4 separate regions of the Mus musculus genome follow, and all the other regions are reported to be linked to region 3. The links are microRNA targets in miRTarBase. Many come from high-throughput screens and were not tested one by one. Region 3 holds a microRNA gene; each other region holds the end of a gene's coding sequence.
What was found. The annotated mature microRNA mmu-miR-298-5p reads GGCAGAGGAGGGCUGUUCUUCCC and lies in region 3 at 2,113-2,135, shown strand. An mRNA with a match to its seed (bases 2 to 7 or 8) in the 3' UTR can be bound and repressed. Matches are read on the target gene's strand: a 7mer-m8 pairs with bases 2 to 8, a 7mer-A1 pairs with bases 2 to 7 and ends in A, and an 8mer does both.

Region 1 (3,112 bases), not on the chromosome of region 3:
TATGAAAATAAATGAGCCAGTTTTCCTGAAGGCTGATTGGTGTACAAGGGCATGCTCATTATGTACAAAAGGAACAGTTTATTTGTGAAGCATAGTTTTGTTTGCTGTTAGTGGAGCAATAAATGTGACTTTCAAAAAAAAACAAAAAAAACAAAACACTTGACCTAGAAGGAACAGACCAAAGTGTTAGTCAGAAATATAGCTTTATTATCATAGTATTTCATAATCTAAAAACTTCTCTTTTTTTCCATCCTGGGAACAGAAATACTCTAACATCTATACATTTGACTGGCCCTGCAGCATACTGGAATACAGCTTCCAAGCAAGCCGCACTTACACATAAGAATCTGTTATAGTTTGGGGAGAGGGTGGGGCATTGACACAACAGTTCAAATGAAGATCTTTTCCCCTTACAAAATAAATAATAAAATTCAATGTATACCTCAGTTAATTCTTGATAACAGTTTCCCAGAAACTTTGGTGATTTGTTTAAAAAGTCACTGCTTCAAATCTAAGGTCGATTGCCTGAGGGGACTCGAGAGCGTGTGTGTGTGTGTGTGTGTGTGTGTGTGTGTGTGTAGATGACATATAAATGGAACTTAGCCATGATGTAGGTGAATGATCCTTCCGTTAAAACAGCTCCCATACTTCAACAGCAGATTTATGTCTTTAGGGAGTCTGTTATACTTAACACATTTCCTTCTATGGGGATCAGAATGCAGCTGAAACTTAAAAGATGTTTTTAAATTCAGTAAGTCAATCTTAAAACTATTTGTCTTGAGTAGTGTATATAGAGTACAAGGTTATATCCAAAGACGAGCATGGACCACTGTCAAAGAGGGCTGTCCTTCCTTCTAGGCTCTTTAAAGGAACACCAAAAAATGACTTACTTTAAATAAAAGAGGAAACAAATCTGTCCATATGTTTGTCAAAGCTGAGGTGTTGTTACTGCACACACTACAGGACGGGGAGCATGCGATACAATCAGCAAGTCACGTTTTCAGTGTGGACAAAGCAAAAGTGCAACCATGATATAAACATCAACAATAAATAACTATGGCGGAGATTTCTTATCCAGATAAATAATAACATTACAGCTTTCACAACGTCAGCCTCAACAGTGATATGATACGCAGCTGTTTCTTTCCCCAACTTGGAATCTGCCTGCACACCACACAGAAGATCTGCTCCCATAGGCCGGAAGTCAGTGAAGACTCACACAGAAACCTCTCCTCCACAAGGACAGGTTCAAAGTATCTGAAAACGATGAGTTATCCTTTTCAATTTATTGTCATCCCAAGGAACTGCTTTATTATCTATTTTAATGTAATACGCTAATCAGATGCTTGTTGCAATAACAATAATTCTACAAGTGTTAGTCAGGTTACAATCTTAATTTTTAAAGTAAAGGAATTTGATTTACAGAAACAAAGCTATATAGTTTTAAAGCCACCCACCACAAACACACACTTTCTCCAGGAGTATTTAAAAATAAACTATTCATATACTTGACATATATATAGCGTATGTAATATATATATGTATATACTTATGGACAACATTATTCCTGTTTTAGAAAGAATGTCAGCACAAATACACTCTAGAGACCTGATGGTGTTGCTTAATTTAAGGAAAAAAATATATAAATTCCTTCTGGAAGAAAATTTTAAACCAGGAGATTTTTTAAAGTTTTTTTTTTCTTTAATAGGAACAGTGTCATTTGGGGAGGGTAGTATCACAGGTCATAGTCCGCATGCATTCTTTATCATCTGAAATTACAATAGAATGCACTGCACAATGAACACCCCAGAGGTGTGGCTGGGAGGGGGTCAAGTGTACACCGGCTAAAGAAGCAAGAGGAGGCAAAGTGAGCTTCCGGGTTGAAACGGAAGTTAGCAAAGAGCATGCTCACAGGTAACCGGTAGCAAGCCTTCCAGAGTAGCCGGTGGGAGAAGAATGGTGGGCGTGCCCACAGCATGGCCAGGATGGCCATGGTACACTGAGTGTGCCCCCCTCTAGCACATCAAGCATTTTGGGCACCACATCAAAGATGCTGCTGACCCCAAGGGTTTTAGCAGCTATCTCTGCAGAGGCCGGTAGACAGCTCTTGGGGGTGCAGCGTGCTTTGCCAAAGAAGGCAGGAGGGGTGCACCCAGACCTGAATAAATAGGCCCTGGAGGACCCAGATGTGAATCAAACAACCCCAAAAGCCACCTGGCAAAGTGAGAACCGAGGTCTAACTAAACACGGCCTGTAACCCACACGGAGATTAAAATCTTGATTAACCAGAATCCTCAAGGGTAACAGGAACGAACCTCTACCGTAGAGACTTTCAAATGTATCAAAGGGCGTCTACACGCAAACCACAAAAGCTCTGCTTTTATTTCACTGCTCTTGGTAAGAACTTTACACTCCCAGCTGGGTGTGGTAGCGCACACCTGTGCACTCAGGAGGCAGAGGCAGGAGGATTGCTGCAAGTTCAAAGCTAGCCTGGTATATATATATAAAGCTCCAAGCCAGCCAGGACTACATAGCATAACAAGGCCCTGTCTCAGAACACCAAAAAATACTATTTTTCTTTAAAGTAGAAGAACTTCACAGTCACATTCCTTGCCTCATAATTCAGAGAGCAGTGGATACCAGAGTCTGGCATCTTGTGAGGCCCACGTACTAATGGGCACTGGGTAGAGGAACCCCGGGTGCCAGGTCTGCGAGAAACTGGCCCAATTATTTAAGAAGTTACCCGCTCGTGTTTCCTGAAACCGGTTGTTTTACATTCTGGTTAATCAGAGTGACCCTGTTTGTTGTGTTCCCTGCGTTCCTACGGCTACATGTCCAAAAGGACAACGCTGTTGGACTCTGGAACATCATTTGGTAAGCCCCGTGGTGATGCTTCCGAGCCACCCAAGCTCTAGATGATATTCACGATTGCTGTAGGCTTCTTTTTAGCCATTTTGGGCCTGAAATTCCCTTTCCGGCTCAGACCCAGGTGTTCCCCTTTCTTGGCTGGTCTGAAGAATTCTCTTGGAGACTCAGCCGGTTCGTGAATGGCCTTGGCGGGCTGCATCCCGGCTCGCTCATCCTTGGCTTTCTTCAGGTAGCTTCTCCCCTT
Region 2 (3,112 bases), not on the chromosome of region 3:
GGCTGCTTATGTGTGTAGCCCCGGGAAAGTAGTTTAAATGAACTGAGTACAGAGATATAACAGATATATTCGTGAAGACTAAATGTGCCCAGATAAAATCGTCTCAAGAATCAGTAAGAGCAGAGGAGCCTGAATTATGTAAATAAAGAGGAAAATGCAATATAAAAATAAAATCCAAAATGAGTGCATTAAGATGGTGAACATTATGGGCATTTTTAAAACCTGCATAATTTCTCCAGCATTTCCAAACAAAAGGAAAAGACTGACTGCCATTTCTTGAACTTGCTTGCTTTTTCATAAATTTTACTCTTCACTATGAGAAGAGTATAGATTGACCCATGGCTGCAGCCGCATATGTAGCAGAGGACAGCCTTGTAGGGCATCAATGGGAGGAGAGGCCCTTGGTCCTGTGAAGGCTCGATGCCCCAGAATGCCAGGGCAGGGATATGGGAGTGGGTGGGTGGGTGGGGGAACACCCTCATAGAAGCAGGGGGAGGGATGGTGGGATTGGGGGTTTCTGGAGGGGAAACCGGGGAAGGGGATAACATTTGAAATGTAAATAAATAAAATATCCAGTAAAAGAAAAAAGAAAAAAGAAACCTCTAGGCTGTATGGTCTATTCAGGCTTGAGCTGTTCATGATGAAGACATACCATGTACAGCCTAGTCCGTTCTAACGGGCAGCAGGATCTAACATCACCTTTGGTTACACGAATTACAGGACATTAGATAGGAATATATAAAAATATAAACATACAGGGTCCCACTCCGAAGTCCTGTGTAGTCCTGGCTGACCTGGAACTCACAGAACTCCACATGGCCACGCCTCCTGAGTGCTGGGATTAAAGCTTCACCGTGACATCAGGCTCAAAGCTGTGTAACTTCCAATTCATCAATTTACCATAATACAACACTTGTATTTTTCAGTCTCATACTAAGAATTCGTTTTTAAATTTAAAAACATTTCATTCTTTTGGTTTTTTATGTGTGGGGGATGGGCACGGTGTACGCGCACTGCAGAGTGTTTGTGGACAACTTGCTGGGGTAGAGGTTCTCACAAAGGTTGCCCAGGGGTCAAAGCTCAAGTCATTGGTCCTGGTGTCACCAGCTGAGCCAGGTTACCTGCCCTGAGTTAACATTAACGTTTTTATTAAAACACGTTGCCAGTCTGCTGAGAATGCCCTGTTGAAGCACCCAACTGTTTATATTAGGTTTGCATTACATTAACCACAATAAAACCGTCAGTCTGCTTATTTAAAATATTTTAGAGGCAACAACCTCTAAGAGGAAAGGTATGAAAAATATAAAAACTTGTACTTTACGGAATGTTTAATAAATCTTCTTTTTGAAAATATACGTTAGTAAATGAGGGAAGCCTTGACTATTGCCACAGCTGTACAATACCTTTCCACATTCCTGCAGGAGTCAGTGGCCTATGCCTCTAACCTCTACACTTGGGAGGTAGATACAGGAGGAGTCTTGGCTACATAATGAGTGGGGCCATCCTGCGTTAAATCTCGATATCTTAAAGTAATTATTTTATGTATGTGTGTGGAGGCATGGGTGTTCGTTCACAGGGGCCCACAGGCCACAAGTGGGTGCTGGGTCCCTTGGAGCTGAAGTAGCGAGAGCCGCCTGCTGTGGGTGGGTGCAGAATCTACACTCCGTGCCTGCTGGACAGGCAGTGTGTCTTCGCCTCTCCAGTGTCCTCAGTTTCCTTGTCTTCAAGAACTCAAAACACACAATAAAAGAATAGATATTACTATAACAAAACAATGAAGCACTCATAAAATCTGCTGTTTGAAAATGTGATCATATTCTTCATAACTACAGAAACCATGTCACTGGACCAGGGTTCCGCAGTCACAGAGAGGCGCTAACGAACAGGCAGGAGAGCATTTTAATTCAAGATACATTCTTTAGTTTATATTCTAGAAAATCACATTTTTGGTACTTTGATACCATGTGGTTGACCACAGAAATAGCTGCCACAGTCCACGGCTACAGGAGCTGAGCTCTGCTGAATACAGGATCTGAAATGAATCACGTCTCACGCTATTTACATTCTGTCAGTGGCCAAAGCAGGAGTTTGTGCATTTACAGATATGTATTAGGACAACGTATTGATTCCCGGGATTTAAGAAACACAGTCACAGCTGAGTACAGCCCACCAGCACCTTCCAGCAGCCATAGGCTCTGCAAACACACAGGACAGCTCGACACTGAACACTTCAAATGTATTCAGAGAATTTCAAAACAACGAACGCCCCCTCCCCGAGTCTAAGCAAAGCAAGTTTGACACTTCTGTGAGACCAGTGGAACCTGCAGCTCAGACTTCAGGATTCTGTCATTAGAATATTGTTTAACTTTTTCATAGGAAAAAGACTAAGGGAAGATCAAATTCAGAAAACTTATTTATCTGAATCCAATCAGATCCATCATTCAGAGACATTAAGACATCTTGCAAAGAACTCAAGAGGTGTATGGGCATTCCTGGTCGGGACAGACACCAACCAGGAAATGATCCTCCCAGGCCGGCCTCACAGTGTCTTAACTGCGTCATCTTCTCTCTTTGTGTCCCTGAGAGTTATATATCCACAGCTTATAACCTGGTCACTGGAGTTGTCAGATTTTAGTTTTTTAAATGTCAGCTCCTCCGGCAGAAGAGACGTGCAGCGCTCGAGGGACTGTTCGATGTCATCGATGGTCCACCTGTCTTCGGGGAGGGCGTGCTGTGCAAGTGTGAAGGGCCCCTGTTTGGTGCGGGTCAGCTCCAGCACGCTGGCACAGGAAGAGAGCTCTACGGTACCCAAAAGGAAAAACGCAAGATGAGCCGCGTGGCGTTCACAATCCACAGTCTTCCAGTCAACAGAACTTCTGACCTCCCAGGGTGCCAGCCCAGCACCAGAGCCCAGAGCCTGAGGTAAGTCACTGCTTCAGCAGGAAAGATGATTTAGGGATGTAAATTTATACCTGTTTTCCTTTCTTGGCATTTGAAGCAAGCCCGGGACATAAATATTCCCACTACCTTGCAAATAGGATAATGTGACCTGTCCACTCATGTGATCAGGGGACAGCAGAGGCAGAGAAGGCACTTTCTGGGTTTGTAAGAT
Region 3 (3,112 bases):
TGTGAGGGAGATAGCCGCTGGGGCTGAGGGCATAGGTTTGGGATGAGCTGGCTGGGAGCTATAGGAAGGCACATAGGAGCACACTTAACAAGCACTGAGGGCCACATGTGAGGTGTCTACTTGGAGGAGTGGCTCGTGGCTCCTAGCTGCCCTTGCAGGGGCTCTGGTACACTCAGGAGTCAAGTGGTTCTTCATGTGAGCAGAAGCTGAGGGGTGACTGGGGCTGATGGAGGTCTGAGCTACCCTCGAATGAGGATTTGGGGCAATGTTCACCGAAACGGTCAAGTCAGAGAGGCTTTCTCTGGGGCCTCTGACAGTGTAAGCAAGAGGCACCCTCCCTCGTACTTGTGGGATCTTCAGCTCTTTTGCAACTCAGCCTGTAGCTAGGGATGGGTCTTTGTAGTCTGCTGGACAGATAAGACAGACATCCACCCCAAGTGAAGATACAGAGCATCCTCTCTCCTTGCAGCTGAGAGCTGGACTGAGTGCTACACAGTTTTGAAGGAACAACTCTAGAGTGTCCTTGAAGATGATGGGGCCCGCTTACAGTAGCTTCTCTCGCAGCACCTCTAAAGTCACCAGCTCACCTTCTTGGCAGCCTGGAGAGCTACGTGTACCTCCTGGCATTTCTCTGTTTTCTGAGTGATGGGAAAGGGGCTTATATGGCCAACACTTGGAGCCACATCTCTAGCCGCCAAGTCAGATGTATTGGGAACAACTGCACAGAGGGGAGAGGACTCCGCAAAGGGCTCACACTAAAACTGTGCTCTTCCTCTGGGGGGAGGACTTCAGAGGGAGTACAAAGTACCTCAGCCCCTCACAGCTTGGTGGTGATGCACCCCTTTTCTGAGAGCCACTTAGCGCAGGATTCCTGTGACCCTTCTGTGCTGAGCAGCTCTTGGGCCTGACACCATCCCCAGCTGTCCCAGCCTTGTTACCTATGGGTGCCTGGGTTGGTTGTCCATGTTGATGGTTGGGATCAAGGGTGGGTGGGTGTCCATCAGATGTGTCTTTCTGTGATGGGCCTCACTGTTCTTCTGTTTGCTTCTGCCTCCCACTGTTGCTCTACTGCACCCGTGGGAGCATGATGGCTCTGCTCCGTCTCTCTTCTCTGCTCAACCAAAGAGTTTCAGAAAAGAGAAAGGAAGCCTTTTCTGAAGTCTCTAGACTTGATTTCTTGTCCTCAGTGCTTGCCCTGGCTGAGGGCCCCGTACAAGTGAACTCTGGGAAGATGATTTGTCTAGGGTCATGGACAAAGGCCTTAGAAGATGACTTCCAAGCCTATTTCGTTAACGACCTGCATTCATTAGAAAAGGACCTGTGTTTTCAAAAACATGGCTCTTGTGTCTCACATGGTCAGACAGTAGCCAAAAGATTGCCCATAAATATGTCTTCTGATGGCTGTTTGGCTACTAGGACAGAACCATTAAGTTGAAGAGCTTAAAACTATGACCTTAGCGGCTGTGTGTCTGTTTTGTTTATGTCTTAACATTCCCTACCCCATCTCTCTGTTCTAAGCACCTCTGAGCTCTCAGCACAGTCCTGCCTTTGAAGCCTTGTGTGATGGGGAGCCTCAAGGATTGGAGCCTGCACTTCTTCAGCTGCTTCTGCTGTGAGCACAACATTCAGTCCTGAGGAAAAGGTTTGCTAAGTAGGAGAACTTGGGGGTTCTTCCTCCTCAGGTATGGATTGATTTTTCACCTCACAGAGACCCAGTCAGCACCCATGGGGTGGGGCATTTGAGTTGGGAGGTGGGTCTTGCTGGAGCAGAGGCCCAGCAAGGTGGATCCTTCTTGGAGCGTGGGAATCTACAGGGCTGCTTAGAAATGGTTTGATTGGTTCATAATGGCACCTTGATAGAACAAGAGGGTTTACTGTACAGGATACTTGCCACACCATGGCCCTCTTTGTGCTACTACATGCAAGTGAGTGAGTCCATTGGATGGAGTGGTCATAGACAGATCTGGCCATGAGATGAGTGTCTCTGGACCCCCACTAACTAGCTCCTGCCCAATTGACTGCTTCCTGAGCACCACAGCTATTTGAGGTAGGCTGGGACGTTCCTGCCGTGCTTGAAAGAGACACCAAGAGGCATAAGAGGCCCAGGCCTTTGGCAGAGGAGGGCTGTTCTTCCCTTGAGTTTTATGACTGGGAGGAACTAGCCTTCTCTCAGCTTAGGAGTGGGCCAACAGCTTCCTTCCGATCTCCAGGAGAATGTTGCTGGTTGACACACGGAACTCATCCTCTAAGTTCCCCCACCCATCAAGGTAGCTGGTGGAGTCAGAGATAGATGTTTCTAAAAGCCATGGAGAACTTTGAGGTCTTGTCATAATGCCCTGAGCCTACTACTAAGACTGCCACCTTCCCATTGTCGATGCAGTGGCTTCTGAGCGCACGTAGCTGGGAAGCGGGTGAGCGGGCCAAGATCCAGGTTAGTGGGCATTCGAGACTACAGAAAGAGACCCTCCTAGGGTCTTGGGGTTGGGGAGACAGAGGCAGGGCCCCTAAGAGGGGATCTCCATCTGTGTGCACACAGAACAGCCTATGTGGAAGGTGACAAGAGGGCCTTTCTGGAGGGCCCCCCCTCAATCCTGTTGTGCTCGCTTCAGAGGGTTGGGTGGAGGCTCTCCTGAAGGTGTCCGCAGAGCGTCGCATGGTAAGTAGTCCCTTGGGGCTCTAGAGAATGCTTGCTGTCTTTGGCTTGATCCCAGTGGCAGCCTCTGCTAGACTAGTCCTGCCCCCCAGTTAGTGCTCATGGGGTACCAGAGACCTGACCCCACCCTGTCTGCTCTAGGCTAATAGTGCCCTGCTTCCCTGGGCTTGTACCACCTTGTGTAGTATCTCCCTACTCTTCTGTATCCTTGGCTGGGAAACTTGCTTCCTAGCACCAGACCTTCCTTGATGTGGTTGTTTGCTTTCCTTTCACTTATCTTTTCTTTCCTACAGGAGTGGGATGGACATCAGTCAGATCCACACCGGTCTTCATGGCAGCCCCCCTTTTTTATTTATTTATTTATTTATTTTTGAGACAAGATCTCACTGAATTATCCATACTGGCCTTAAAACTTGGAATCCTTATGCCTTAGACTCCAGCATTTCTGGCATAAACTGC
Region 4 (3,112 bases), not on the chromosome of region 3:
CCCCCAGGGAGGGGCTGGGGGCGTGGCTCAGCAGTAGAGCACCTGCCTAGAATCCCCCAGGGAGGGGCTGGGGGCGTGGCTCAGTGGTAGAGCCCCTGCCTAGAATCCCCCAGTGAGGGGCTGGGGGCGTGGCTCTGTGGTAGAGCTCCTTCTCTGAGCACCTGTGTTTCCCTAGATGAATGTGGGATTGTAGCCCAGATCTCAGAGCCCTTGGCAGCTGCAGACATCCCAGCATATTACATCAGTACTTTCAAGTTCGACCATGCATTGGTAAGTGGCCCCTGGGGACAGGTGGGGACTGTATGGGTAGGGACCAGGTACCTGGGCTCACACACTTTTTTTTCCCCCCTTTGCGTCCTGCCCTGCAGGTTCCAGAAGAGAATATCAGTGGGGTTATCCATGCCCTGAAGGTCAGTCAAGCAGGGAAGCATTAGACTCGTCTCTGGGCTCCTCCCTGCCACAGCCCACCTGGGCCTTTCCCCCCACGAAGGTTATTCTTGCAGTATTTCCCTATGGACTGAAAGCTCGGCCCCAGGACCTTTAAGGAAGGGGCCTCTGGGACACTCCCCTGATTCCTGACTCCTCCAGGCCTGGGCCTGAGCTAGGGCCACCCCCACATCCTCCTCCTGCCTTCCAGAGTCCCCAGCCTTTTCAGTAATGACTCTGTTTCCGCTCGGTGGGGGTGTGCCCATCTTCCTCCCCCAAGTTCCACCCCAGAAAGCGGTCTCCGAGGCCCAGGACACTTGGGACCAGCCCAAGGCCTCACCTACAGCCCGCAGCAAACACCAAAGGAAGCTGGCACCTCCTGTGAGACACTGGGATCGGGGTCCTGATGCACCTAGGGACATCTTAGGGAGTTGGTGGAGCAAGATTGGGGGTACAGAGCTGGGGAAGCCCCCGTGAGCCCCCCCTTGAATTGATGGTTATGGTTGCTGCTCTAGTTTTAGAGGTTCAGGGGCTGGTTCCCTCAGAATGGAGGTCAGCAGGCCACCCTCAGGTCATAATGGCCAGTGAGCCTCAGACAGTAGCAGTGGGGTTCCTACTCCTAAGCTGGGGAGGAAAGGCAAGACTCTAGACCCCCACCTGCTGACCACACAGGGCCTGTGTCGATTTCCTCTACAACTGCCAAGAGGGGCCCTGGGCCAAACTTCCCCCCAGAGCACTTGTCCCTGGAGGGGATCCCAGGACACCCCCTCTCCCACCAGCCTAGAGCGCCAGCTTCTATCTGTCCTTTGTTCGCTCTCCCCAGACCCATCATGGGCAAGCAAAGACTCGGCTTCTTTCAGCGGTGGGCATCCCCACCTGCCCAGGCCTAGGGTGCCTTGGGCCATGTCCCACCTCCCCAGCTGTCACTTAGACCAGCCTAGAGAATTCCCCATCATCCTCTCTGCCCCACTTTTAGGGGATAAAGAGGCCTCAGCCCCCACAGCTCATATACCTGCCCGAAATACACACAGCAATCTGTGGTCACGGTGATAACCTGGGAGGCAGCTATCTTCAAGCATTTGTAGAGAGACATTACCCCTGCGGGGTTTCTTCTTCGTTGTCTTTGCATACAGGTGGCTGGGGAAAGAGTAGTTTTGTTTGGAGGGGATGGAGCCTGTTTGAGTCTTATTAGGGTACCCAGTGTTCAGTGAGACTTAGCACCCTGTGTCTCTGGGGACAGACACAAATGCAAAGATGTATCGTAAGACTCTTGGCCGTGTCTTCTGAGGAGGGCTAGTGGGAGCAGAGCTCTGATACAAGACACCAGGACCCCATAGCACCCCCTGCAGGGCATGCCAGTGTTCCACCACCTTCATATGGCGCTGTTAGCTGGGACTGCGGGGGGTCCACCAGACTTTTTGCTCTTGGGGTGTTTTGTCGAGCCTGTGCTTCACGATCTCCAACAACAAGGTCAGAGGAGGGAATGTTTATCTACCCCTGCACAGTCTTGTACAAACTGTGTTTCCCTCCTCTCTGGGCCACAGAAACACACCCAGAGGAACTCTTCTAGAATCATGTAGAAGCCAGAACCCAGCATGTTAATCAAAATCAACTCTGGTTGGTTTTGGTTTTGGTTTTTTTTTTTTGTTGTTGTTGTTGTTGTTGTTGTTTTTTAACTCCTTTTGCACAAAACCCTTAAAACCAAATCTTATTATTTTCTGGTCCCGAATGGGAAATGGCCAAGTGGGCGGGGCTTTATAGTGAGGCCCCTGAGTCCCCTTTTTCTCTCTCTGGAAGGCCTTGATTGTCCGGGGTACACATCTCCAGAACCCCTCCTGTCTCCCTTTCCAGTCATCCCTTCCCACCATATAAGTGTGCTGGCCCCCTGCCCCCTGTGTGGACCCCTAGACTTGCTAGGATGAGACTGTGTATTGTACACACCTATAAATACATGTTTTATGTTGATAGAGATATATTCTGTAAATAGCATATATACTTGAGCAATATATATGTTAATATATTCTGTGTGCGCAGGACACAGGCAAGGGCCCCCACCTCATGTGCGCACACTCGGGGACATTTTGAGCCACCGTATATTTTTAATTCAAATACGTAGGCAATACGATGAGTGAAAAAGCCCTGGGGTCCTGAGGCCAGCCTGGAGGGGAGACAGAACCAACAACCTACCGCAAGTGGGGCAGGCTGAGAGGGCCAGTGTAGTCTGCTTCATAGCTACTGTACCCCCATTTCCACAGCCTAGAGCTCTGGATGCCTTCATTTTATTTGGGAGGGGGGGCACTGATCCAGAGGAGGGATTGGGTTTTTTTGTTGTTGTTGTTGTTGTTGGGTTTTGTTTTTGGTTTTGGTTTTTGGTTTTGTTAACAGTGGCTCCCTCCCTCAGGGTTACCCCAAAACCTTTGTCTGGTAAACCCATCTGTCCCAGCCTGCCTCCCTCCCAAGTCCCTTCTCCATAGAAAGCTATAGACCTGGCATCTTACCTGACTTTTGTTGTTATTGTTGTATTGTTTTCTTGAGGCAGGGTCTCTTTAGATAGCCCTGGCTATCCTGGAACTCTCTTTGTAGACCAGGCTGGCCTTGAATTGATAGGACTCTACCCGCCTCTGCCTCCCGAGTGCTGGGATTAAAGGTGTGTGCCATCACACCTAAGTTTTTTTTTAATATTATT

Region 1: the mRNA of Zfp365 is a reported target of mmu-miR-298-5p. Seed matches in the 3' UTR shown: 7mer-m8 at 2,454-2,460 and 8mer at 2,086-2,093.
Region 2: the mRNA of Trub1 is a reported target of mmu-miR-298-5p. Seed matches in the 3' UTR shown: 7mer-A1 at 1,015-1,021, 7mer-m8 at 360-366 and 7mer-m8 at 120-126.
Region 4: the mRNA of Castor2 is a reported target of mmu-miR-298-5p. Seed matches in the 3' UTR shown: 7mer-m8 at 3,045-3,051.

What each region holds. Positions count from the first base shown.
Region 1 is chr10:67,885,919-67,889,030 of GRCm38, forward strand. Zfp365 (zinc finger protein 365) reads right to left here. Exons shown (of 5, transcript NM_178679.2): 5 at 187-3,112. The coding sequence ends at 2,912. Among named protein-coding and RNA genes, the nearest start is that of Zfp365, 25 kb to the right of the region's middle.
Region 2 is chr19:57,487,696-57,490,807 of GRCm38, reverse strand. Trub1 (TruB pseudouridine (psi) synthase family member 1) reads right to left here. Exons shown (of 8, transcript NM_028115.3): 8 at 1-2,799. The coding sequence ends at 2,540. Among named protein-coding and RNA genes, the nearest start is that of 6720468P15Rik, 19 kb to the left of the region's middle.
Region 3 is chr2:174,266,576-174,269,687 of GRCm38, reverse strand. It overlaps Mir298 (microRNA 298), which reads left to right and starts at 2,103; the gene lies at 2,103-2,184. Mir296 (microRNA 296) reads left to right here and starts at 2,563; the gene lies at 2,563-2,641.
Region 4 is chr5:134,137,861-134,140,972 of GRCm38, forward strand. It overlaps Castor2 (cytosolic arginine sensor for mTORC1 subunit 2), which reads left to right. Exons shown (of 9, transcript NM_030719.3): 8 at 176-270; 9 at 369-3,112. The coding sequence ends at 434. Among named protein-coding and RNA genes, the nearest start is that of Rcc1l, 37 kb to the right of the region's middle.